3 linked regions of the Nothobranchius furzeri genome follow. Each later gene encodes a partner of the first gene's protein in a complex. Links are inferred from orthologs where the notes say so. Each region holds a gene or a part of one and is shown on either strand. Other genes may lie near its edges.

Region 1 (11,096 bases):
CGTCTACGACCTGTTTCCACGGTGGAACTAATTTAAGAAGACCTAATAAGGAACCGCAGCCCTCCACTTCAGCTCCATCCACAATCAGCCTGTTTGGTAGACGGATTCCTGCAGAACAGGAGCTGAGGAATTAGAACGGTCAGAGTCCTTAGGGGACAAAGCATCAGCCTGCAGATGGAAGACGTTGGTTCCTGACCGTCCCGTCCTTGCTGCTACAGGGTAATAAATGTCAAACGTGTCCCATCAGTGCTAAGGACAATGGTGGAGGCATGTAACCGTCACCCAGTGGTGAGTGGCTCGTACTGAGATGGGCAGATACCCAGGTAAAAAGGGTTCACCAGACACAGCAGCTCAGCATTGCTAAGGCCTGTTTAGTAAGTGTGAGAGGAGAAAATAACATTTTATCTGTAAAGAAGAAGGCGACCAATCAGAGTTAAAGGTGAGATTGTGTGCTTGAACACACAAATGGTAGGAAACAGGCAAAATTGCTCTGAGTAATGTGGGGACAATCAGTGTTTTATCTGAAAACGTTCATCCTCGTCAGACAGTGTACAGAGCGGCGGCGGTGGTTTCAGCAGAACTCGTACCAGCAATGATTTATGTGGTGAAGAGACGAGCATCATTCACAGCTAAAGGAATAAGTGTTTCATGATCCTATTTCATGTGCTGCAAGTGCCTCCTCCAGACCAGCAGTTTGTTTTTTTAATGGCGGCACCGGCGCAAGGGGGGGGGGGTTATGACACGTCTCATCTTTATGTTAATATTGTTTTATTTGATGTACTCCACTTTGAACTGCACCAATCCAGCAACTGCTGAATTTTAATAACTATTATTAAAGGTGAATACACCAATATTTGCACAAGAATATTTTTTGTTTTAAATTCTCAGTGACACACTTTGCCCCCCTGCAAAGTGTGTCACTGAGAATTTAAAACAAAAATTATTTGTCAATATTTGGCATTTAATTTTTCTTGGCATCTGGAAAAACATCTTCTGCCCCCCTTTATTTGACTTTCTGTCCCCTTTATTTTGGCCCAAGATCATTACTGGGCTGGCCCGATTAAACTTGTTCTACACCCCTGCTTAGTAGACTTAATGAAGTATTTTTAAGCCAGTATAAAAATGACTGAAACTCAAATATACGTATTTGGCATTATTGACCAACATCTTTGATTTAATTTATTTGTTAAGAACATCAAGATGCATTACAGTGAACATTATAATAAAGTACATGTTTCTAGTGCAGAGAGGAGACAACCCCATAGAAGCACTGATTTGATCTCATTTCAGAGAAAAATAGAACAGATCAGATGCATCTAATAAATAAAATTACTAACAAACACGGGAATCTGTTTCTTTGCTTCATTGTTCTGGTGCTGAAAATATCACTAATGCAGATCAAAGGAGATACACAGATGAATGCACCTCTTATTTATTATTTGGAAATCAGTGGGTGTGGTTTACATCAATACATGATTTTAAATCTGAAATTGATATGGATTGATCAGAAGTTGCTATGTGTGTTTATTAGAAAACTATTTACAGAGCAGCCTCAGAATTGAGATTAAATTGTTTTGATCACAATAGTAAAGGAACTACAGAACAAGTTTTTCACTAAAATCAGAACATTAATATTTAAGTGCATGAATTAATGCATCTGAACTCATGCAGCAGGATTTAGGAAACATGAAATTCTAGAACCATTTTATTTTAATTTGATAAAACTGATTTTTTCCCAGTGTTGTTGGCATTTTTTCCACACACAGTGTGTGTGTGTGTGTGTGTGTGTGTGTGTGTGTGTGTGTGTGTGAGAGAGTGCGAGTGTGTCGGACGGACAGAGCTCCCGGCTGCAGTTTTGTGTGTAGGGAGGGGCGGGCACTCTATGTGACTGGCCAATCACAGAGTGTGAAGACAGTCAGTTACCCAATGAGGATTTTCCTTCAGCACGATTACAGATTTTTACAAGTTTTACTCGTTTCATGCTCGTATTCATCAAAAATGCTTTATCCGTACCGGATACTCGTCTGAAACGAGTATGCGGCTCATCCCTAGCTGTAACCACCCTGCCCTGCCTCCTCCTCCTTGCTGCCTGCTGGCTGTGATCACAAGCAACAACAGAGTAGTTCCCGTTGCTTCTTCGGGAAACGGCGCAACAACAAAAAAAAAAATCAATTAAACTTGGGATCTTGTAGGCGTGGCGCCGGGATTTCAGCCGCGGCAGGCCGCCACGGCTACGTCTATGTAAGGGAAACACTGAATAAAATAACAAACTAAGTCAAACATTTCATTTGGTGTTATTTCTGACACCCTTGAACTGTGGCATGAATATCAAGCTGCTCAGAGACAGTAAACTCTCATATACAGGAAGTGCAGAATTATTAGGCAAATGAGTATTTTGTCCACATCATCCTCTTCATGCATGTTGTCTTACTCCAAGCTGTGTAGGCTCGAAAGCCTACTACCAACTAAGCATATTAGGTGATGTGCATCTCTGTAATGAGAAGGGGTGTGGTCTAATGACATCAACACCCTATATCAGGTGTGCATAATTATTAGGCAACTTCCTTTCCTTTGGCAAAATGGGTCAAAAGAAGGACTTGACAGGCTCAGAAGGGTCAAAAATAGTGAGCTATCTTGCAGAGGGATGCAGCGGTCTTAAAATTGCAAAGCTTCTGAAGCGTGATCATCGAACAATCAAGCGTTTCATTCAAAATAGTCAACAGGGTCGCAAGAAGCGTGTGGACAAACCAAGGCGCAAAATACTGAGAAACTGAGAAAAGTCAAGCGTGCAGCTGCCAAGATGCCACTTGCCACCAGTTTGGCCATATTTCAGAGCTGCAACATCACTGGAGTGCCCAAAAGCACAAGGTGTGCCATACTCAGAGACATGGCCAAGGTAAGAAAGGCTGAAAGACGACCACCACTGAACAAGACACACAAGCTGAAACGTCAAGACTGGGCCAAGAAATATCTCCAGACTGATTTTTCTAAGGTTTTATGGACTGATGAAATGAGAGTGAGTCTTGATGGGCCCGTGGCTGGATTGGTAAAGGGCAGAGAGCTCCAGTCCGACTCAGACGCCAGCAAGGTGGAGGTGGAGTACTGGTTTGGGCTGGTATCATCAAAGATGAGCTTGTGGGGCTTTTCGGGTTGAGGATGGAGTCAAGCTCAACTCCCAGTCCAGGTTCTGGAAGACACCTTCTTCAAGCAGTGGTACAGGAAGAAGTCTGCATCCTTCAAGAAAAACGTGATTTTCATGCAGGACAATGCTCCATCACACGCGTCCAAGTACTCCACAGCGTGGCTGGCACGAAAGGGTATAAAAGAAGAAAAACTAATGACATGGCCTCCTTGTTCACCTGATCTGGACCCCATTGAGAACCTGTGGTCCATCATCAAATGTGAGATTTACAAGGAGGGAAAACAGTACACCTCTCTGAACAGTGTCTGGGAGGCTGTGGTGCTGCTGCACGCAATGTTGATGGTGAACAGATCAAAACACTGACAGAATCCATGGATGGCAGGCTTTTGAGTGTCCTTGCAAAGAAAGGTGGCTATATTGGTCGCTGATTTGTTTTTGTATTGTTTTTGAATGTCAGAAATGTATATTTGGGAATGTGGAGATGTTATGTTGGTTTCACTGGTAAAAATAAATAATTGAAATGGGTATATTTGTTTTTTGTTAAGTTGCCTAATAATTATGCACAATAATAGTCACCTGCACACACAGATATCCCCCTAAAATAGCTAAAACTAAAAAGTACTTCCAAAAACATTCAGCTTTGATATTAATGAGTTGTTTGGGTTCATTGAGAACATGGTTGTTGTTCAATAATAAAATTATTCCTCAAAAACACAACTTGCCTAATAATTCTGCACTCCCTGTATGAACCCATTATGTATTTTATTATTACGTTATGTGTCCTGTAGGTTTTCAGTACTTTTTTAGATTTTGTGAGTTTTTGCAAAGCGTGTTTTTCTCAGCCTGACGTGTGGCTGTTGAACGAGGAACAGATAGTTTTACTTTGTTAAATCTTCTTAAATGTTTAAAATGTTTTGTCCTAACCTGTTGTGAATGGAGAGATTTTGAGGGATGGCAGGTTGTGTCAATTACGTGTTTGATAAAAAGTAAATAAATAAAAATGAAAAGCAATTATCTGACATCTTCTATTTATCGATGAAAACAAATCAATATGAAATAATCGTGATGCATCGGGATTTCTAATCGAATTGAACCACTGACCCAATAATCGTAATCGAATCGAGAGACAAGTGAAGATTCACACCTCTAAATTCCACCCAGTCACACAGCAAAGCTCCTACTCTACGTACTCTAGCTGTCTGCAAACTCCTTCCTCTGATGCAACGGTTCCAGCTTTAATCACCCACATGAGAATGCCCCGTAAAAGAGGCTGCTTACGTGGAGGTGATGGTGCGAAAACGCTCCTGCCCCGCTGTGTCCCAGATCTGTAGCTTCACCTTCTCCCCGTTGAGCTCCACTGTTCGGATCTTAAAGTCCACGCCTATCGTGGTGATGTAGCTACCTGTGAGCAGCCATGCGAGCACAAAAAAACAGACAGAAAACAACAAAGAAGAGGAATTTGAGAGCAGGAAGTAAAGAGTAGAAAAAATGGACGTCACACCACAGCAAAAGGTGGAACCACTCACCTGAAAATGTATTGTCTGCAAATCGCAGGAGGAGACTGCTCTTTCCCACTCCTGAGAATGAAACAAGCACAAGATTACAATAAAACAAGTTTCCAACGAAGACAAACACATTTAAAAAAGTAGATGTGCTCGGTGGCACCCGCCTGGTCAACTCAAACAGAGCAGTAGGGAGCTCTGGGGAGATCTATGTCACTACTGTGAGTCAGATTTTGGTTTTACACTTTATATCTCTGCACCATCAGATGACGACAACATGTTTTAAGAGTCAACAGCGCTAATCTCTGCGTACTCAGACAGTTGGTTCTTCTACACATATTAAGTTTTACACATTACAATGAGCTGGGAGGAGTTCAGGAGAGCTGGGCTCCAAAAACATCTTCATTTGGATCTTAGCAGAGCAAAGAGAGCTGATCAAAGGTTAACAAGAGAAAAAATCTCAAAAATAATAGTCAACAGGTAAAAGTGTGCTGTCTTCAGACAGTTTGACTTCTGGTGTTTGAGCTGTCAGACGGACTCGTCTCATCTCCACACACAGGTTTGTTCCAACAACAATAACCACATCAAATGTACCACCATGTCTCTAACACCGACCTGATCGAGAGTCACTTTCTGTCCAACAAATCAAAACACTGACAACATCCTGGACTCCACACACGACTTTCACGCTCAGTGTGCAGGGCCTTCTAATGCAATGCTGTAATACATAAATGATGTACTCAGGAGGCACACGTGCGACAGGAACAACATCCCCAACCTATGATGGAGATCCAGGGCAGGGAAAATCGGAAGGTCTAGTCTTCTTCCTCCCAAGACGATCTCTGCAGAACTGATCTGCCACAATGTGACTGAGGACACTAAGGCTGTGTGTGGGATGTGATGAAGGGTGCGTAGTGCTGCCTTGTCACACAAAGTGAATAGCCAGCTGATGCGGCAGTAGTGCCAGGACTGAAGCCATCAATGGAAGCAAAGATCACTGTTGCATCAAAAGGCTTCCAGCTGGATGAGCCTTAGATGACGCAGCAATGGCTCCATAATTACACCTGCGGTCTGGATCCACCTGTGGCTTCGGGAGTTTGTCTGATGTGAAAGGATTTCACGTTAAAGGAGCAGCACTCCAGCTTTTACACTTCAGCGGCCAGCTGCACCTGATTGGGTGGCTGAAATTAACCAATTGTGAACGGCTAGCTTGCTGAGAAACAGTTTTGCAAATCAAAGGTCCACGGAGGAGCTTAGTTTCCTGCCTGCTAGCAAAACCACATCCCATGCAGCAGCTTCACCAAACCGTGCTGACTCTACAGACACATACACAAAACTCTACTACTTAGCTAAACAACTTTAAAACACCAAAGTAAATGTTTATTTAAAGCAACCAGCCTGGAGCACTGATGTTAGCCTAGCTTCCTGCTAGCTAATATTACATCGCTAATGTGGGACACAAACAGAGAAAATTAGAGAAGCGGAAGAGCTTTAACGGAGGTAATTTAGTCAAATTGTTAGTTTTTATAGAGCTAAAACCAAGTCTTCGCCTACTGGAACAAAAGTAGAGACCCTGGTGCGACAGAGCCGACGCTGTGGAGGCGCTATCCGGCCTGACATGCCCGGTCCGGTCACACAACCTCCGCCCTGTCACGGGCACTAAAACATGGCGGAGCTGTTCATTCCACTCATCGTTTTCAAGGATAAAATATGAAGCGAAGTGAGAGCCCACAGCCAGTAAACTACTCGGCCCTGCAACGCTACTCTCGCTTACCTTGTAAGAAATAAGAAAAACACAACAAGGCCCACTTCCCGTCCCACATCCCCGAAATCGGCTTACCGCTGTCACCGATGATGAGCAGCTTGAACAGGTAATCGTAGTCCCTGGCCATGCCGGTAGCTGGTGGCTATCCCCCGCCTTTTGCTGCAGCTTCGCTTAGCTTTCTGTTCCGACTCCCTTTAGACCGTAGACATTTACCAGCTCCCAGATCCCCCGGCACACGGAAAACGACTCGGTACCCGATGCTGGAGACGGTTAGACCCCGAGCCGGTGGCGTTTTTTTTCTTCGGGGTTTCGCGGCGTCAGCAATCCACCCTCCGCTGCAAACAGCCGGAAACTCCGCTTCCTTCTCTGGCGGAGCTGCGCCCAAAGGAGCCGACGTCACTGCGCATGCTCCAGCCAGAGCGCGGCAGTCCCAGCAGACTGATCACGGACCAGTCGATTCACAACACCTACAGGTGTCAAAGCCCACGTTTACCGAGAATTGTACCCAGTCGAATCATGATCCAAACACACGTCCCCTCCGATGTCACAAACAACTCCTAAAACAATCAGAATAATAAAAACGCATCCAGCTGTTGTGACTGTGTGAGATTAGTGTTTCAGATAACCAGGTAACCTCACGGGTGTGTTTAATACATCCAGCATGACATGCAACTTCTTCACAGAGTAATCCGAGTTTGTAACTTCCTCCTAATGCAAGTTTTCTTTGATCGTGTCATGCTTTATGCATCATGTCTGCTGAACCTGTCCTGTGGTCTTCAAGTCTTTGTGATTCATCGTTTTGTTGTACCAGAATCATCACTGAAAGCATCTCAAACACACGAAATCTTTATTTTGTATTGTCTTTTTACAACAGTATCCAGGATAAGTACAGTTTGTCTTATAGAAAGTTGCTTTCCACAAACAAGTCACACACAATCCAGAGACAGGGCTGATGTTTCCCTAGAGGCATCTTTAACGCTTGAAATCATTTTGATAAAATAGTCAACAAAACATGATCATATCAAAACAAATTTGGCATTTTGTCTCCCAAATACTACAGTTTAGTGCAGGATTATAACCTGCACATCACAAGATAAAAAGGAGTAAGAAACGGGGCTTAAAGGCAACTAAAACGAAGACTGAAAGTTAGAGAAAACAAAAGATACATTTGTAGGGAAAGCCCTTGTGTGTCGAGTGTGTCTGGGGTTCTCCAACTCAGGATTTGTTTTCAGTGTCAGTCAAATTTTAATCAACCTCTGCAGATTTCAGTTTACTGTCAAGTCCTTTTCAATCATGTCAAAATGGTGTCATCGATCTCTTCATTGGAGTCTGGCAGGCTGGCGATCTTCTTCAGAGACCGGCGGTGACATTCTGACAGCAGTTCATTACTAGCAGAGTCCAGAATAGCAGTCATGCTCTGTCACGTAAAAAAGGTAAGAATGAATAATAACCACAGAAATGTTATTATTGATCATGTCTGAATACAATCCCAGAGAACACAGGCTCACCTGCATGGTTTCCTCTCCTTGGCGGAGTTGTAGCAGGTTGACGATGGTGTGATCACTCTGAGCTCTGACGGTGGTGTTCTTGTCCTTGGTGTTGTCCAGCAGACTCTTCAACAGGGGCTTGATGAGGCTGGTATCCATGGGGGGCACTGACGGGTCTCTGAACACCCACCACAGCACTCGCTCTGACACCAGTCTGATGTCACTGGACTGGTTCTGAAGACACTGGGGTTGTCACACACAACATGTCACATAAAAAACTAGTATTACTTATCTCAGAAGTTTTTTCTTCTGCAACAAGACGCCCCACCCCTGGTTCAGTCCAAAATGTAAACCTAGTTTTCTAGTACTACATCCCACCAGTACAATATCCCACCAGTACTACATCCCACCAGTACAATATCCCACCAGTACTACATCCCACCAGTACAATATCCCACCAGTACAATATCCCATCAGTACAACATCCCACCAGTACTACATGCCACCAGTATTACATTCTACATGTACAACATCCCACCAGTACTACATGCCACCAGTATTACATTCTACATGTACAACATCCCACCAGTACTACATCCTACCAGTACTACATGCCACCAGTATTACATTCTACATGTACAACATCCCACCAGTACTACATCCTACCAGTACTACATCCCATCAGTACAACATCCCACCAGTACTACATCCCATCAGTACAATATCCTACCAGTACTACATTCTACATGTACAACATCCCACCAGTACTACATGCTACCAGTATTACATTCTACATGTACAACATCCCACCAGTACAACATCCTACCAGTACTACATCCCATCAGTACAACATCCCACCAGTACTACATCCCATCAGTACAATATCCTACCAGTACTACATTCTACATGTACAACATCCCACCAGTACTACATCCTACCAGTACTACATTCTACATGTACAACATCCCACCAGTACTACATGCCACCAGTATTACATTCTACATGTACAACATCCCACCAGTATTACATCCTACCAGTACTATATGCCACCAGTATTACATTCTACATGTACAACATCCCACCAGTACTACATCCTACCAGTACTACATCCCATCAGTACAACATCCTACCAGTACTACATTCTACATGTACAACATCCCACCAGTACTACATCCCACCAGTATTACATTCTACATGTACAACATCCCACCAGTACTACATCCTACCAGTACTACATCCCACCGGTACTACATCCTACCAGTACTACATTCTACATGTACAACATCCAACCAGTTCAACATCCTAGCAGTACAACATCCCACCAGTACTACATCCTACCAGTACTACATTCTACAAGTACAACATCCCACCAGTACTACATTCTACATGTAAAACATCCCACCAGTACAACATGCCAGCAGTACTACACCCTACCAGTACAACATCCTACCAGTACCACATCCCACCAGTACTACATTCTACATGTACAACATCCAACCAGTTTAACATCCCAGCAGTACAACATCCTACCAGTACTACATCCTACCAGTACTACATCCCACCAGTACTACATCCTACAATTTGACGATTTTTACTCAAAATATGTGATCAGTACACAGTGTAAGTTTGCCTGTATGCTCCACAGAAACACAGCTCAGCACAAAATAGTGATCAGTTTTATGGCTTTTTGTCAGACTCTGAACCAGGAGATTGCTGCAGGCAGTGAAGCAGAAGGCAGAAAACTCCAGAGCACCCAAGGGGTCATTATGGTCTACATTTTTTGAAGCCAAGGAGTGACTAAAATTGCAGTTGAACTCTCATCCACTAGGGGCTGGCAGCAGACGAGAGCAAATCCTCATTGACTCCCATGTTAAAAATCCCATTTTCACAGCAGAAATAAACACGTTTACAGCCTGGTTCAAAAACCCATTTTAGGTTTAATAGATCTAGTTTACAGTCATGACAACTCAGAAGGGGGTGGATGCTTTTGTAACTCTTCTGTTTAAGTGTAATTTAATGCTTAAAATTCTGAATAATTATTGAGCATCAGAGGGGCCTCACAGCAGGGCCTCCAGCCTCCAGCAGTGGAAAGGCCTCGGCCTCATGTTAATAGATGTTCGGCCATTTCGACTCTCTGAACTTTAGTTTTGTCTGTGTGTTCCTGTTTGGATGTTAATCATGGAATCATTTGGACAAAGAGGGCAAGCTTTGGTTAATGACTGCACTAACAGATCATCCAAACAGTTTCTGCTTCTTTTTATCAGTAAGTAAAATTATATTTCTGTACTTTATTTTGCTGGTTGAATGGGGAAAATGTGGTTCATTTAACTGCTTAGTCAGACATGTTAGTGGGGCTGCTGGCTGGATAAGCGATGCCCGTCTTCCGTTTCCTGCCTGAGACGAGTAGCAAGAGCAGGCGACTGGCTGTTCCCGTTTCCGGGGCAGCCGACATGCGAACCGGCTCAGATGCCTGGTTGTAGTCATGCTGGTCACTTGTGGATTTCTGAGGTAAACCACAGAAACACCGCAGCTTCTTATGTTGATGCTGCTTTACTTTTGAGTCGCTCAACTGCATTTTTTTCTCACTAATAGGTTGCTAGTTTATCATAACACTCTTTGGTCTAAGATGGGTCGAAATCGGTTGAAATATAACGTGTTGGTGTGGCTGCTGGGTATCTGACCGAGGATCGGGCATTGCTGCTCCACCGCAGTAAAAGATCTGCGAGTCAGCCGTTTTTGTCTTCGGTCGGGAGCGCTACACGATAACATGAGCTGAGTCCCAGAGCCGTGTGCGTCGACACTGGCGGACTTACGGCTTTTTGACCATGGTGCACCAGCGAAGCACGATATCCTTGGTCAGCTTACCTAGTTATAATTTCTTTACTAAGCAGGCCGGAGTTGTCTTCATGTTGAAGTCGTTCTAATGCATTTTTCTTGCAAAAAACGCCCGAAAAAACTCTGTTAGCTTCAGGTTAGCATGCAGCTAATGTCCCGCTTATTTCTGACATTGGACAATGAGCTGATCTGAAAAGCCAGGGCTCCTGGTCACAGCGGTCTGGCTCTGATTGTAATTTCACAGGCCCAGTCTATATTAGATCTCCACAGGTGGCCAGCATGACTACAGCCTCGAACTGAAGCCGGTCGGCTGTGCGAATGGGCTACCCCGCGGTCCCCGGTGCAATTCTTAGCTTCTTGGGTTA
Region 2 (8,392 bases), on another chromosome or scaffold:
TTTTTAAACGTGTTACATTTTCACACAACTACATAAACCCTGTATGTCAGGAAATACTGTCCTCAGTTTGTGTCTAAATTTTGCCTAAGATGTGTTATTTTGTAATTATGTTGTTTATTTGTTTATATTTTTTCCCTTTAGTCTTTAAAATACCAATATTTGCCCATAACTTCTTATTTTTTGTCTGTTTGATGTCATCATTTTAAAATTATTAGGTCAGATGATACTCAGTACTCAAGTAGTCTTCTAATCAGATACTTTTTTACCCTTACTTGAGTAATAAACCCTATATCAGGAAAATATTGTCCTCGGTTTGTGTTCCAGTGAGCTTTGCAGATGTGGGAAAATGTCATCAGGCAGTAATCATTGTTAAATTAATAATTATTCTCAGAGAGAGACCAACTCTTATCTGCCCCTGGGAGCCCCGTAATGCATAGCGTCATTTCAACATGGCGGTGTCCGCGACACGGTTTATATGCAGGTAGCGGCGCTGCGGCTGCTTTATATAGCGACTCGTTGCATTCTCCCTCAACCCAAATCCTCGGATCACGCATTTTAGCTAAAACGCTAACGTTAGCTTGCCTTGCGTTGACTGTAGGGTTGTGGGTGATGGTCACGCAGATGTGTCATGAGATTTGAAGCGTTGCTGCCTTTCACAGACACTTTTTCTGCACGTGCTGCAAACAGGATAGCCGTCTTCTATCAACTGTCCCTCGGCATTCTTCAAATATCCAAAAGATGCCCGTACTTCCCACTTTGTCTTCTTTGAGGGATAATAAATGTCCTGAGCGCTGCCGTCTCCTCCTTTGGCCGTTATTTCAGCTTTAGCTTCAAGAAAGTTTTGGTTGTAAACAACAAAGTGCGCATGTGCCGCCGGCAACTTGAGCAGATGATACGGTGGCTGGTAAGGGTCACCGCGCCTACACCGCAGCCACGGTAACCCACAGAGATAATAATAATAAAAAAAAAAACAAGATGGTTATTATTATTGTCAACTTTTTTACCGGGGTTTACTGCTACACCGGTTACCGTGACAACCCTACTAGAGACCACCTCAAAAGTACTGATTAAACGAGTGTTCCACACCTTTAAATAAAAATCGAACAGAACAGTTCCTGCTCCTGACATTTAGGAATGTAGGGAAGTGGAGGGACTTCCTTCCATTCATGTCTGGGCTATTTTCAGGTTCCTTCACACATGAAATCTGACTGAAAAAAATAAATAAAAACATTACATTTTAGACTTAAACTGGTTTCAATTTTGATTCTGGAAAAAAAACAGAAAACAGAAAGATTTTAGAATAAATATATTCCAGCAATTTATTTAAAAATATTGATATAAAAAGTGTTTAAGTGGCAAAGATTACATGTTAATCCTGCAGCCATGACATATTATTGTTGTTTGGATCAGCTGGGTAATCCCACCATACCGAATGCAATCTGCCTGAAGATAAAAACAAAAACTCAACAGGAAGAGCAGAGCAACGGCCTAAAAAATAAAAGCCTTGAAATAAATTCCAGTAACAATTGTCCTGAGATTAAATAGTGTTTAAATCTATATAATTGGTTTTCATCTTAGGTTTTAATTTAAAAACAATTCATTAGGATTCCACTAGGCCTGGGACGGTAAATCAATAAATCAATTAACCATACAATAGATGAAAATTAACTCAATCGTTTTTCCAGCCCCGATATATTGAGGGTCTTTAGTGCAATATTTTCTAACAGAGAGTGAGAGTCCTTTCTTATTGTATTTTTTTGTTTGTTTGTTTTATTTATTTATTTAGAAGTTCTGGTTTTGGATATTCCAATGTTAAATGAAGGTTTTATAGTTGCATTTTAAAGGAAACACTTGCATTATTATGATATATTGTAATTACATAAGTGGTTATTTTGGTCTCAACAATGTCAACAACAATGTTGTTTATTGTCATTAACTGGTTGTTATCGTCGTCCCAGGCCTAGATTCCACAAAGCTCTACTTATTATGGTTCTTTATTCAAATTCAAAATACTTTAATGATCCCTGAGGCACATTCTGTGTTTTTATTCATTTTTCTATTAAATTCAGTTTATTTCTAAAGCGCCAAATCAGGACCAGAGTCGTCTCAATGACGTTCACACAGTAAACATTTCTAGTACAGGTCAGGTCATTAAGCCAATCAATAAAAAGTTTCCTACATAAGAAACCCAGCAGGTCGCATCGAGTCACTGACTAGTGTCAGAGTCTTTACAGCAGTCCTCATACTGAGCAAGCATGCAGCGACAGTGGAGAGGAAAACTCCCTTTTAACAGGAAGAAACCTCCAGAGGATACTGGGTCAGTATGGCACACACACACACACACACACCAAGTAGTGTTTTTATGAACTTTCTTTATCTCAGTGAATCTAAAATTAACTCAAAATTATTTCACTCTTCAGTTTAGAAATTCAGTTTTAGGGTCACTTTTTATTTCCTCAAACCAACATTAACTTCTAATAACCACCAATTAGGTACACTATTTTTTTAAGCAAAACAGATTATGAACAGATTTTTTGGTGTAATGTATCAACAACGTAGCCTGGCAAGCCATCCTACACATGTAAATAGAAACAATTAAATATTAGTAAATATATAAAATATAAATAAATATAATGAATAAAAAATATATACGAGGCCAACAACACCTGCCTCAACTTTAATAAACAAGGGTGGGATACTACTCTAGAGATCTAAATAGATAGTATTAAATGTACCTGCTGTTTAAACCTGTTGTCTAAACCGACAAACAGCTCTACAAATTCTCGTTTCATTTTTTCAGGCTAAGCAGATAGGCTTTTATTTTGTAAACCTTGGCCGGAAGCTATACTTTGAACATCCTGTCGAACTTGACGCTGTTTGCGTTTCGCTGATGTTTCTAGTAATGTGGATCACTATGGTGGATCGATATGGTGATAACGGGGGCGCAGGCCGCTGGCGAGGCCGCGCCGTGTCACGTTAACGGTGTACGCGTGTACAGAGACATCAATATATAATAAAAACGTGACGTATTTTACATAAATGCGCGGACATTTAACCCGAAAATGAATAAAACCGAGGATGAGACAAACCGTTACACGCGCCAGCCACACACAACTAGCCAAACCCAACCAGCCTCCCAGATTTGACCCTTTCCAACACAAACATCTAAACTACCGCTCAGAAGGACCAGAAAGACACGTAGCTCCGGAACAACGAGCTGCGCATTCTCCAAAGGAACGAACAAAACATCCTTTCTTCTGCCTTCGACGCGATATTCGGTTAACGGAGCCTTTTGTCGTTCCCCCCCGCTTGTTTTCACCCAGTACGCACTAAAAATGTGCTAATGGAGCCGTTTACCTTGTCGGCCGTGGCTCTCGGTGCCAAAGGCGGTGTAACAGTCTGCTGCCGAGCTGTTACCTCCGTGTGGGAATCCGGTGTCGGTACCGGAGACACTGCGGGATGGGAGGAAGTGAAGCAGCAGCACGTCAGGCTGAGGTGACGCCGGTCCCAGTCCCAGACTGGATTATCTCACCCGGGCGGGACAGCCAGCACCCCTCCTCACCCTCAGCCCTCCTGCGTGAGCCACCCGGTGGTCGTTAAATAATAATAAAAATTAAATAAATAAAAAACATTTAGTTTTTGCTGTTTCTTCTTCTTAAATTGGAGTAAAGCCAAATACTTTTTGTTGGGAAGAACAAAAGAAATGCAAAAAACAATAGAAAAGGTTATGAAATTTAAACTTTAGGTGTAAAATTTGATCACTAACTATTCTGGAAAAACATAAAAAGTACATTAAACTAAAATATGCAAAACATTTCTATGCAAAACTCAACTAAACACGTTTTAAATGAAATAACATTGAACGTGCAACATGACTCATTGCTCACACCAGACCTAAGTTATTGCGTAGAATGACTATACCTTTGGTCAGCAGCTGAGAGTCATCCATCAAAACATTAGAGAGCAAACCAATAACTTCTTATCCTGTAAACATAACGTTGGTTGTAGATATTATGAGTATATCAATCAATCAATCAATCAATCAATCAATCAAAGCTTTATTTATAAATTATTATATATAATTATTATATTATTTAATCTTTAATTCTTAGCCTATTATTAACATTTTGATTTATTTGTATTGGTGTTAATGTTTTATTAAAAACGTTTTAAAATAGGGGAAATCTTATGTTTAATTTGATCTTATTTTTTAATAATTAGCTATATTTTACAATGTTGTTTTTTTAACATATTTGGCATTTACGGTTATCTTAAATAATTGTTTGTATGATCATGAGGACAATTGGGATGGAAAAAATAAGTATCAGCTTTAATCCAGTTTCGATTGATCTCTTTGATAACCAGTATTTGTAAATTGACAACTCCGTTATATTGCAAAAACCGAAATGGTCATGTTTATTTATTTATTTTTTATTTTTTGAAGGTTTGATCATCAGAATCAGAAAGTTTTTTGCCATATGTGTGAGCATCAGGAAAGTGCTGCGTACTTGGTGCAAGAAGAAGAAATAAGCACAATAAAATAATTTTATAGAGCAACAGCAATTAGAGAAACGACAACAAGTCACGTGCAAACACAGCACAAGGTCATGTGACCAGAGTTGTTAAAGAGCAAGTCACCCCCAAATCAACTTTTTTTGCTGATAAACTAAATAAACGAGTGTCTAATTGTACTGTAGACACGTGTAGTCAATAATTTGGCACTTCAGTGCATCTTAGTTAAAATTTAAATTTTCTGCCTAAAACTGGCAGTGTTGCGCCGTCGTCAGGTAAAAACTCTGCACTGTATTTTAATTTAAATCTGCCACCGCTATTGGCTAAGAGGTATGCTATGATGTAAACTGGTGCATTATGACGTCACAATGCCGTTGTGAGCCTGTGTGTGTGTGTATTTGTTAGTGGCTCCGCCCTCTCGGTCTGCCAGGCAACAGCAATTGTTGCATTTTTCAAACATGAAGTGGGAGTGGAGTAAGTTTATTGTAGGGGGTGACTTGCTCTTTAATTCAGGAGTCCATCTGCAGAAGGTGGTGAGAGGTTCAGGTGCAATACTCGGTTCCACCGGTAGATGGCACTACCACAAAAAGAAACCGAACCAGAGCTTTATTGCTTTCTTGCAAACCTGACAAACATTTTTACATAATAAAATTCTGTCAACAATGAATGGAAACATGAACAATAAGGAATAAATGAAACAAAATAAATAAAACGTGGAGACAGGATAAATGTGAGTTGCAGAGATAATAAATGCATTATACATTTTCATAGTTTTGATGGTTTTTAACTGAACTAGAGGTTGTTTTGAAGGGATGCTTCGGTGACGTGATACGTGAGGTTTGATTTGTAGTCTTTTTAATGATCAGTTTTTACAAGTTGATAAATATCAAAGTACGTGACAAACAGTCGAAACTCACATATTTCATTTTGATTACAGTTAACATAAGGCAAAGCGGTTTCTTGTTTCAGGCCGTAGGGGCTTGACGTGGGTGTGACGTAGGCTCGTATAACACTAAATATCTAAATGTTTTTGAATGTGAGAAAGATCCATCATAACAATCTTTTAAGTCCAAGTTCTAATCAGATCCCACGAGTCGCAGAAACAACAAGTTCCCCATCAACATGAGGTTTCTGTTTTCGGAGCTTATCCTTAAACTAGGGTCATTGCAGCTCAGTCTGCTTCTGATTTTACTGAGAAAGGGATGAAGAAGAAAAGAGGAGGATCTACTGACACCCGCTGACCCACCACGGTACTAACATCTCCTGGCCTGGAACTCAGGACCAGTGCTTCTCAATCCTGGTCCTGGAGTTGAATCACCTGTGCGGCAGCTCATCAGGCTCTGCAGAAGCCTGTTAATCACCTGCTGATTAAAATCAGGTGTGTTGAAGCAGGTTAAAACTAAAATGTGCTGGGTTCCGGCCCTCCAGAACCACTGCTCTGGACCCACTGGTGCAAAAGCGAAATATTTAGCTCTGCAGGTATAGGTTTACATCGGGTGACCTGCCAGACTAGCACTCCTCAAGAACAGCTGCAGCTTTTAGCTTCTCCGTCTGTTTACAGCATGTTTTACTACATTTGGGATTTCCAGTGATCAGTTATTTTTCCTGTGAAAAAGAGTTAACAAAAGACGAATCACAGCATCATCAGTCCTTATTGCTTCTACCGAATGGTTTCAACTCATTCAAAGGATCAAACAAAGGTTTGAATTTGAGGTTTGATTAGAAATTTATCTAATGCATCAGGTGCTGGAAACATAAGTGGGCCTAACTCAGTTCTTACAGAACTTGTAAAGTGTTCATGAGTCACAGGTCGTAACGTCAGTGTTTCCTCGTTAAAGCAGCATGTCAATAAAAAATAACATCATACCCAGGATGCTCTACTGGTGAAACTCAGAAAGTTAGAACGTTGTCCAGAAGTTCATTTAGCAAAAGGGTTCCAAACCAAGGACCGAGTACAAATGCATGATTCTGCTTTTTCAGAGTTCTGACGTTTCTTTATCTAAAATCATTACTTTAGTGGTTTAATGTAATATTCAAAATGTATGAGATTTTTTATTTGGGGGGGTTATGATAAGCTGCGAGCCGTGATCGTCACAATTCTAACAAATAAACACCTGAACTTTCTCGCTTAGCCTGGAGTGAGTCTGTCTCAGATATCAGACTCGCCTTTTATTTATTTAGATTTATATATATATATATATATATATATATATATATATATATATATATATATATATATATATAATTAGTACACTGAATGTGCTCCTTTACAGGGAAATGATAAACCAGATCAAATTGGATTTATATTGTATAAATCAAGTTTCATTGGTTCCACCTGTTTTCAGTCAATTGTTTTGAAATCAGAGGTTTTGATTGGCTGACAGAACAATGAAAATCACCTGCGGCGCACCTGAAGTTTCACTGTCTCACTGAGGAGTGAGGGAAGAGAGGGAGAGCTGCAGTTGTTGGTCCAGGTGCTGAGCAGCGTGTTCACACGTCAGAACCATGAAGCTTTTTTTATGGTACTTTCAAGTCATTCATTATGCTTCTGTATGCATTTATTCATTCATTCATCTGGAACAACCGATGATGGTTTTTATACTTCTCTTCTAGTGTGGTGCTACCATGGCTGCTCTGTGGAGAGCTTCAAGCTACCACACAAAGTGAGATCATATAACTTCTGGTAAATGATGATTAATGCTGGTGTAACCAAGAGCTCCTCTGTTTCTCGTAGCTTCCTCGCAAGGACTTCAGACTGGATTAAAGAATCTTGAAGGCAGTAAATCCGATCCCCGCTCCCAGGCGCAGCGCTTCAGCCCGGATCCCCGCTCCCAGGCGCAGCGCTTCAGCCCGGAACCGCAGCGCTTCAGCCCGGAACCCCGCTCTCAGGCCCAGGCGCAGCGCTTCAGCCCAGAACCGCAGCGCTTCAGCCCGGAACCCCGCTCTCAGGCCCAGGCGCAGCGCTTCAGCCCGGAACCCCGCTCTCAGGCCCAGGCGCAGCGCTTCAGCCCGGAACCCCGCTCTCAGGCCCAGGCGCAGCGCTTCAGCCCGGAACCCCGCTCTCAGGCCCAGGCGCAGCGCTTCAGCCCGGAACCCCGCTCTCAGGCCCAGGCGCAGCGCTTCAGCCCGGAACCCCGCTCTCAGGCCCAGGCGCAGCGCTTCAGCCCGGAACCCCGCTCTCAGGCCCAGGCGCAGCGCTTCAGCCCGGAACCCCGCTCTCAGGCCCAGGCGCAGCGCTTCAGCCCGGAACCCCGCTCTCAGGCCCAGGCGCAGCGCTTCAGCCCGGAACCCCGCTCTCAGGCCCAGGCGCAGCGCTTCAGCCCGGAACCCCGCTCTCAGGCCCAGGCGCAGCGCTTCAGCCCGGAACCCCGCTCTCAGGCCCAGGCGCAGCGCTTCAGCCCCGATCCCCGCTCTCAGGCCCAGGCGCAGCGCTTCAGCCCGGAACCGCAGCGCTTCAGCCCGGAACCCCGCTCTCAGGCCCAGGCGCAGCGCTTCAGCCCGGAACCGCAGCGCTTCAGCCCGGATCCCCGCTCTCAGGCCCAGGCGCAGCGCTTCAGCCCGGATCCCCGCTCTCAGGTGCAGCGCTTCAGCCCGGAACCGCAGCGCTTCAGCCCGGATCCGCGCTCTCAGGCGCAGCGCTTCAGCCCGGATCCGCGCTCTCAGGCGCAGCGCTTCAGCCCGGATCCGCGCTCTCAGGCGCAGCGCTTCAGCCCGGATCCGCGCTCTCAGGCGCAGCGCTTCAGCCCGGAACCGCAGCGCTTCAGCCCGGAACCCCGCTCTCAGGCGCAGCGCTTCAGCCCGGAACCGCAGCGCTTCAGCCCGGAACCCCGCTCTCAGGCGCAGCGCTTCAGCCCGGAACCGCAGCGCTTCAGCCCGGAAC
Region 3 (8,576 bases), on another chromosome or scaffold:
CTTGGATTTTTGTGTTTTTCCACTTGACAAAAGTGCCTGCTGCTTTTTTTTTGATGGATTCAAAATCTCTTCCCAAGCTTTTCAGTGTATCCTGTGTTGATACTACCATTCTGTAGGCAGAGAGGACGTCCAATCCTGCTGTCTGAAGGCACTTAGACAATGGAGAGGTATGATCAAATATGTGGAGGAAGATTTGAGCCATTAAGATCATCTCATACTTCAGCAAAGACTCAGTATATCCTCTCGCCAGGACACAGATGGAGGGTTTTACTGTTGCCTGTTTCTGGATGATGTCAACAGTACATCGACATACAGACCATTTTCCGGCTTTCCAAAGTAGCCAAACACCTTCTTCAGGGCCTCGTGCTTGGCCCACCAACGTGTCTCACCAATAGGAGCAAGGATTCTCCGTCTTTTGTTTTGGCCTGTCTCTATCCACACATTCATCCTTTGACATGACTCTGTGATAAATACAACAATGCCTTTGAAGAGCGCGAAAAGGGACCCGCTCTCAATAACAACCTGGGTTGTGTTTGCAAGCACCAGATTTAGCACATGTGCATAGCAACAGACATGCATTTGGTTTGGTGATTGTGCAGACAATAGTGAAGAGAATCCTTTATACTGGCCTTGCATGTTTGATGCCCCATCGGTCACACTTCCAATGCACATTGTCTTGCTCAGGCCCATTTTTTCCAGAACATCTGACAGCATGTCAACAAAGGCCTGTCCAGTAGATGAACTACACTTCAGCACTGCAACAAGCCTCTCATTAACAACATCAGTAACATACCTCATAATAATGGAGCACTGATCCTGAGAGATGTCCTGTGTTGTGTCCAGCTGAACTGAAAACATTCCTGCTTTCTTGATCTCATGTGATATGTTTTCTTGAATCAGATGGTGAATTGCATCCATCACTGAGTTGACTGTGGTTTTGGAGAGAAAAGTTACAAGGGAACCTCTGCCTCTTGTGCCTCCAGATAAATGTAACTTTTTGCTCTCCTCAATGCAGCTATCCAGGTGCTCTTTTAAACAGAAATCATACTTCCCCAGTGGAAGTATAAGTTCAAGGAAATTTCCATGGTCAACTGCGTGGTCTTCCAGGGTGCTGCCTCATTTTCTGACCTCCTGTATGCAAGCCCCCTCTTCCCAAAAACCTTGATGACATCTATTATGCGCTCCAAAACCTGTCGTCTTTTTTTGACCTGCTCTCTGTGTGCGGTCATCTGACTGCCACGAAACATCGGCTGATATTCAAGAGGTATGCTTCAGCACAGTTTCTGTGTGCACTGCTTCTCTCATGTTCCTCGGTGCGCTGGTGTATATGCTTCCATTCTGACATTCCACTGATGAACAGACTACTATCAGTTCTCTTACCAAATGCCATGCAGATGAAGCAATACAGCACATGATGCACTGGACAGTACGTCAGCCATCTTCTGCTGGTACCATCTCTGCTACAGAACACTTTCTGCACCACAGGATTGGTACTTTTTGGCGGAGGATGGTAATTTAGAAACGATAGGAGATTTTTCTGATCAGGTTGTGAAAAAAAATCTGTTATTTCCATCCATCCATCTTCTGAACCTGCTTGTCCACGCAGGGTTGCGGGGGGCTGGTGCCTATCTCCAGCGGTCAACGGGCAATCGGGCGGGGTACACCCTGGACTGAGAGCCAGTCCATCGCAGGGCAACACAGAGACACACAGGACAAGCAATCATGCACACACACACACACACACACACACACACACACACACACACACACACACACACACACACACACACACACACACACACACACACACACACACACACACCTAAGGACAATTTAGACGGACCAATCAACCTAACAGTCATGTTTTTGGACTGTGGGAGGAAGCCGGAGTACCCGGAGAGAACCCACGCATGCACAGGGAGAACATGCAAACTCCAGGCAGAAAGATCCCAGGCCAGGAAGCGAACCCAGGACCTTCTTGCTGCAAGGCAGCAGCTCTAACCACTGCACCACTGCGCAGCATCTGTTATTTCACTGTCACATTCTTGGTGCTTTACAGCTGTTTCCCTCTCAGGTGGTGCTGTATTTGGGTTGCCTGTATTGGTTTGGCCCTCTCCCTGAACTGACCAGCTGGACTTGCCCGTGTCTGGGCTAATAAGAAAAGCATTTTGCATTGTAAAGGGAAATAACTTCAAACCACAGAATAATCCACATATACAGATATTTATCAATATGTATATATTTTCCATAGAAATGCATTAGCCATGCACAAACTCACATGTATACATAAACATACAAAGAAATTCAATTAAGTTAACTGTCAAAAGTTGCCTTTCAGAGTCAGATGCCTCCAATGTGCTTTCCCCTACAGAGTATCAGAGAGAGGCGAGGCTTCTGAGCACAGGCACCACCACGACCAGCAGGGAAGGGGAGTTGGGTGTCTTGCCCAGGAAAACAACAGCAGTATTTTCTGCTGGGATCAAACCTACAACCTACAACCCACTCTGCCGAGCCACTGCTGTCCATACATTTATAAGACATAAACAGAATTTAAATGGTGATTTTTCAAGTCTCCAAAGCAAACAGTGAAAATGTGATGAATAGAAGTAGACAAGATATAAATAGGCAGTGAAGAGAGAGGACAAAATACTGGTACGATATGATGCACCGGATGTCTTTCAAAATGATTTATTACCAGAGTGGTTCAAGATAAAAATGTATTTAACACAACGACAAAAAGCAAATCTTTAAGTAACAAAGTATTTGTACACATGTGAATACAGACTGATGTAAGTGAGACGTGCACTCGTCTGGTTTATGTTTAAACTGGTATAACACCAGCTCTCCTCACGCTTCTTCTGTCCATCACAGCTGGATCTGTGTCACACTGTTGCTGCTGGGGGCACATCGATGGTGGGGGCAGGAGGGAGGAGCAAACACTGCTCACTGATTTTCACCACTCAGCTATATCAGCAGAAAAACATTATGCTTACTGCTAGAATGCTACTGGCTGCTAAAGTAATCGCTGGGCTCTCTGTGGTTTACGTTTATTTGTCGCAATAATCTTGATGAATTATTTGTTAGCTGCAACTGACCTTGCAACGACCTTCTGCGTCCTTTAAGTTGTCCCTTTGATGTGCACTGCATTCTCTAGCGCACAACAGCATGCAGGCTAAAAGCTAAAACCACCCAGGTCACAGGTGCTTTAGTTCCGAAGTGAAAGTTCTGTTTTTATTGGGTGTCATTTTGTGGTGACATCTATATTTACTGGTACATCTCATGAACCTGAAGAAAACAGTTCATTATAATACACAGGAATCTGTCAGACAGAGCGGAAAAGTGACTAATGCAGAAAGCACCTTTGACTGATGGTGGACTGTGTGACCTTTCTTTTAATTAAAACCGCAATAATAAATGTCACAGCCAATGCTGGACCAACAACACTAGTGGCTTTTTATTTTTCTTGCTGTTTTGCGTTGTAGCAGTGTTACGAATCTGCTCTGACCACACATGATCTTATTCAGCTGGAATTCAAAGCAATTAGTCATTTAATTGTAGTTTTCTTGTTTTACATTTGGTCTGTGGTAAAAGAGTCATAAAACTAGGACTATCTGGTAAAAGTGAAACATCTGACTCCTGTAAAAAAAACATTTAGAAATCGTTTTGATGAATTAAGATGAACAGCAATGCAGGAGGAGTGGATGCAATGGTCATAAGCAAATGCTGCTTCACAGATGATGAGCAAACATTTTAGCAACATAAACACAATTATTTTGAAGGCTCTCATGATAAATTAGGCAACTTTTGTCCAGTAAGGATTTCAGGAAAAGATATGGATTCCAGCTGCATGACCAGTGACAGAAGACATTTTCAGAAAGTTTTTGCACATGAAAATACTAACAAATAAACTACTAATCTAGTTGGAATTACTGAAATTCTATGGAATAATGAATGAATAAACATTTTCAAGAGATACTTCCTAAATTCAAGGGGAGAATATATAATTTGAGCATTTTTTTGGGAAACCAGTCAATTTATTTTGTCCATGTTTCTGTATTACTTAGAAATTACTTTTTTAAAAGTCTGAATGACTTCCTTTTAACCTATGTTTACCTTTTTAATGACTGCTATGTTGGTGCAATAAGATTTCCACCTGTATTCATTTGAATTTTATCTTTTCAAACAGACTCTGTGTACATCCCACTCATATTCATATCCCTATGCTGTTTATATTGTTCTGAATGAGTAAAGCACTGCATGTAATTTACTTGAATGTGTTTTAATTACAAGCCATTCATTCATTCATTCATGCATGAATACACATGATGCCTAAAATGAATAATAACAAACTACAATACATCTGTTTGTCTTGATTGATTTTATTTTAAATAGTACAAGGAACATTTTCTTCTGAGATGTAGTTTACTAGCCAGGCAAGCCAGACTAAATAAATGTATTATTGCAAAGCAAGAATTTGGTCTACTTCACTAGGCTAGCAGTTTACACTTCTAATTGGGAAATACACTAAAAGTGTATGTAGGTTTTGTGTGTGTGTGTGTGTGTGTTCTTGTACTGTACTGCACTCTACAATGTGAGGACATTTTTTTTAGAAACTTACCAGTTGGTTTTAGAGGTATGGTGTGAATTTTGTTTTAGGGTTAGGGATAAATCAGCATTGATTATAGTTAGGGTATGGGTTATGCATAGTGGAGTCACAAAAATGAATGGAAGTCAATGGAGGGTCCTCACTATGATAGGAAGACGGACGTGTGTGTGTGTATGTGTATTCAGCACCTGAGGTAAATAGGAATCCCCTTGTTGCACTCTGGCAGCCTCCGTTGCAGCCGCCACAACTGAGCTAATAACGCAGCAGCGTCAGAAGGAAGCCCCTTTTAATCAGAAGCAGCGTGAATCACACGGTCCAGGTCTAAAGTGTGTGTGTGTGTGTGTGTGTGTGTGTGTGTGTGTGTGTGTGTGTGTGTGTAATCGGAAGCAATGAACCACATGGATCAGGTCTGCAGCAGCCGGACGCTCGCAGGCAGCAAGGTGCTCATCTGACGCGCTGACGTCACCAAATCTTTGACAGCACTTCCTGGAGTGGTGTTTGTTGTGGGAAACAGCCACGGTGGTGCTGAATTGAGGGAATTTAGGCCACATAAACGGCTGGAAAGACGAGACAAACTCCCACCTCCTCCCACCATCAAGCATGTGGTCGCGGCAGCTGCTTTTGACCGATATCAGATAAGATAGAAAGAGGGTTTTCGGCTGAGAAACCGAGGAAGGAGGACGAGGTGGAAAATTTCCCGGACAGACCTCACAGCAGAGCAGAGCCGCCGACAGACAGTACGGCGTTGTCGCGATGTTGTAACTAAACCATGGACAGCAGGATAAAGTAAGACCTTGGAGTTTATTTTCTTTTTTTTTAAATAAATATTCAGTCGCTTTGCTACGTTTACCGGTCAGGCTAACGGCTAACGTGCAGCTGACGCGCCGTTAACTCGGAGCTGCGCGTGAGTTGCGGAGGAATGTTTGGCGTAATTTGAGCCATCTCCAGCAGCGGCTTTAACAGCCAGGCCAGCTGGCTCAGCACGCATTTGGGTCAGTCTGTGGCTGTCCACTAGCTGACCACCAATTAGCCGCTTTAAAATAGGTGAACAACCATTCTGTGGGTCGAGCTAATCCCCTCTGTTTTATCAGAGAACCCAGTCACCCCTCTGCTCCATCGAGCTGCTGCTTTCATTATTGACATTTCCTGTTAATGTGGGTCAGAAGATCACAGAACTACTCTGTTCACGTGGATAAACACATGTTTATATTTGCTAATTTTCCTAAAATGAGTTTGATCCTGTTTTTAAAATCTTTTTTCATTTAGGGAGAACCCAGAAAGAACATTTGATCTGGTTGTACAAGTGGCGTGTCCACCATCTGAAAATGAAGGTATGTGATTTTAATATTTCCATTCTGTGTGCAGAATCACGTGACAGTAAATAACTAATTCATGCTGTTTTGGGGTTTCAAACATTTATGCAAATGAGGAAATCGGCTCACTTTAAGTTCTCTGAAAACACATAAATAATCGACAGGCTGAGTTTGGAACAGCGCGTCCCCAAATCCAGACAACAGTCCTTCAGACTGACACTTGAATTTAAAAAATGTTGAAGTACTTCAACACATTCCACAGAGGAATAATTCAATTTGGTGACGTAACACCATTCAAAAGGGGATGAGACGTGAGACGTATGACCCTTAAAACACTTGGACATGAATTCCACCTAACAGCTCAGTCAAAACTCATTCTCTGAACCGTTTCTCCTCAGCAGGGTCACAGGGTTGTTCCTGGGGTTGTTTCCACTAATTCTGACTTTTCATCTTCCACAAGATTATAAAGCAGATGGTAGATGAATGAAGTCTTTAGAAATGGGACCAGTTGTTTTAGGTTATTGTGAGATTTTTGCTAAGTCGATACACTTTAAGATAACAACCAGCGTTTGTAAAAACTGGTTCATCATGTGAGCCCGTTTCTGAGAAATGAGTTTGCAACTTCTGAAACTTGTTTGCTGTAAATTCAAATGTGTTGTGATTTGGCTATGGGCCAGTTAAACACAAAAATCACCTTGTGCATGACACAAAATGTTCATAACCCTCCCACTGTCCTAATGGGTGTGACCCCGCGAGGAAAGTTGACCATTGAGCAGGGTTGATGGTTTATCCCTTGAGGTCCACGTGGCAGGGGTGAGGTGGTGCTCACTCCTCACCCCTGCCACGTGGACCTCAAGGGATAAACCATCAACCCTGCTCAATGGTCAGCTTTCCTCACAGGGTCACACCCATTAGGACAGTGGGAGGGTTATGTTTGTGGGCCATATACAGGTGAAACTCTAAAAATACTCCGAATATGGTGCAAAAGTTCATTTGTGTCAGTAATTCAGCTTAAAATGTGAAACTAATATATGAGACAGACTCATTACATGCAAAGCCAGATATTTCAGTCTTTATTTGTTATATTATGATGATTATGGCTTACAGCTTAAGAAAACAACACATTCAAAATCTCAGACAATGAAAATATTGTGAAAAGGTTCAATATTCTAGACACTCTAATCATCTAATGAATGCAGAACACCTGCAGAGGATTCCTGAGCCTTTAGATGGTCTCTCAGTTTAAAAGAGCTGTCTGGACTTTTGCACCATTTTATAATATTTCAATTTAATACATGTAATAGATACAACTGTTAAAACCAAGCACTTTGTTTCCAGTATTCAGTTTGATAAAGCTGTTTACTTGAGCTGACGAGTGGTGAATTTCTTTGCTCCCATTGTTGCAAAAATGATTGTTTCTACCCAGCCTGTAAATACTATAATTGTTAACTGTGCAGCCAGGGAGCTGTGTGGTTGCTGAATGCACTTGCATTCACTGCATGACTGAACCAGTAGTCATTACGGCGGTTGTATTAGAGTGTGTGTGTGTGAGGTTCAGAGTTTGCTTTGTCTGCAACAGAAGGCTGACACTTGAGTTCTGAGAAAAATAAAAATCCATTTCAAATTTTCCTTTTCTCTTACGCACATTTATTTGATTTACCTGATCGTACATTTTTCCTTGGGGACATTTTTTTCTAAAATCCATGAAATGTGTTGTATTTTTAAAAATGTCAGGTTTGAGTGAGAAACCTGTTTGTCGTACCTTCCAGTTGGTCGTAACTTTTGTGAGAAATGAAGTGTCCACCGAAGAGCAACACCATCCTTAATCATTTTATAAATACAGGAAATGAAGTAACCCTAACATTCCCGTCAATATCCAGTGTTATTCACAAGTCTATATCATGTAAAAACGTTGTGCGTGTGTCTTGCTTTGCCCGCTCACGGCTGAGTTTGAAGAGGTGTTATTGGAGGGTTCGCCCTTGCAGCTGCTGAGCTGACGAGTGAAGGCTGAAAGTTGTCCTTGGATGTAGTTCTCATATTGGCTTTTCAACCAAACTCATAAACTGCTGAATTGCACAGTAATAACTGACTTCCTTCACGTCTGATCTGGGGTCAGACTCATATCCGGTCTCCAGTTCCCTTGAGCAAAGCTGCGGTGCAACATTTGCTCACTTCAGTTTGAACTGAATGCACATATTATTGTTATTTGACCAGAATGTTTTCTCTTCACGCTGTTCGGATTGTTGAAAATAAACCTGTTGAGGAAACTGCTAATCTCTACTTTAGGTTTCTGTCAGGAGGGCCTGAAGGTTGTGGCTGGCTGCTTTTTTTAAAATAAGCAGTTTCATTTACTCCTATGAGGAATCGGTCACTTCTCCCTAAATCGGATCAGTTTCACTTTCTCTTACTCACTATCAGCGGTGTTTTGTCCCCATTGCAGAAGGAATTTGTCAGAATATTCACTCTGGTACTGGTGGAGGTTTAACACACTCATCTGTGACATGAAGGCCAGACTAAAACATTCTCAACTGCAGCATGAAATCAAGCGCTCTATTCCCCCAACCAGGAGAAAGTGGGCGTTAGTGACCTACGTCAATCGGTTTCTGACAAAAGCTCTGGCGCTTCTCATTTAGGGGGTAGAAGTTTGTCAGATGACC

The links. The genes of interacting proteins can lie anywhere in the genome.
Region 2: the proteins of rab35b (region 1) and rusc2 are in contact, whole or in part, in a crystal structure (PDB 6IF2), measured with the Homo sapiens proteins. The link is inferred for Nothobranchius furzeri from reciprocal best matches to the Homo sapiens genes RAB35 and RUSC2. Residues at the interface, in NP_006852.1 of Homo sapiens: Asp4, Tyr5, Leu8, Phe9, Lys10, Ser22, Leu26, Asp30, Ile38, Thr40, Val43, Asp44, Phe45, Lys46, Ile47, Lys58, Gln60, Trp62, Thr76, Arg79, Gly80, His82; in NP_001129471.2 of Homo sapiens: Val997, Lys998, Asn1001, Asp1005, Val1008, Thr1013, Arg1015, Lys1020, Glu1119, Glu1155, Leu1158, Leu1159, Gln1161, Pro1162, Leu1165, Leu1166.
Region 3: the proteins of rab35b (region 1) and dennd1b are in contact, whole or in part, in a crystal structure (PDB 3TW8), measured with the Homo sapiens proteins. The link is inferred for Nothobranchius furzeri from reciprocal best matches to the Homo sapiens genes RAB35 and DENND1B. Residues at the interface, in NP_006852.1 of Homo sapiens: Lys10, Leu12, Ser17, Ser36, Tyr37, Ile38, Thr39, Thr40, Ile41, Gly42, Val43, Asp44, Phe45, Gln60, Trp62, Thr64, Ala65, Gly66, Arg69, Phe70, Arg71, Thr72, Ile73, Thr74, Ser75, Thr76, Tyr77, Arg79, Gly80, Thr81; in NP_001182144.1 of Homo sapiens: Met1, Arg4, Glu43, Ser47, Phe51, Val72, Leu73, Thr74, Asp75, Ile76, Glu77, Ser78, His211, Glu212, Arg213, Arg214, Gln242, His243, Ile244, Ile246, Leu249, His252, Leu253, Asp255, Tyr256, Cys258, Ala259, Pro260, Met261, Pro262.

Annotation. Positions count from the first base shown.
Region 1 is NC_091757.1:28,059,852-28,070,947, reverse strand, and holds the start of rab35b (ras-related protein Rab-35b), read right to left. Parts: upstream 6,766-11,096; 5' UTR 6,537-6,765; coding exon 6,485-6,536; intron 4,720-6,484; coding exon 4,669-4,719; intron 4,545-4,668; coding exon 4,421-4,544; intron 1-4,420. UniProt on the Homo sapiens protein: The small GTPases Rab are key regulators of intracellular membrane trafficking, from the formation of transport vesicles to their fusion with membranes.
Region 2 is NC_091750.1:38,915,954-38,924,345, reverse strand, and holds the start of rusc2 (AP-4 complex accessory subunit RUSC2), read right to left. Parts: upstream 3,555-8,392; 5' UTR 3,358-3,554; intron 1-3,357. Other genes in the region: uncharacterized protein, read left to right, coding at 7,018-7,034, 7,126-7,175, 7,247-8,392. UniProt on the Homo sapiens protein: Associates with the adapter-like complex 4 (AP-4) and may therefore play a role in vesicular trafficking of proteins at the trans-Golgi network.
Region 3 is NC_091748.1:66,499,147-66,507,722, reverse strand, and holds the start of dennd1b (DENN domain-containing protein 1B), read left to right. Parts: upstream 1-5,022; 5' UTR 5,023-5,375; coding exon 5,376-5,392; intron 5,393-5,872; coding exon 5,873-5,937; intron 5,938-8,576. UniProt on the Homo sapiens protein: Guanine nucleotide exchange factor (GEF) for RAB35 that acts as a regulator of T-cell receptor (TCR) internalization in TH2 cells. Acts by promoting the exchange of GDP to GTP, converting inactive GDP-bound RAB35 into its active GTP-bound form.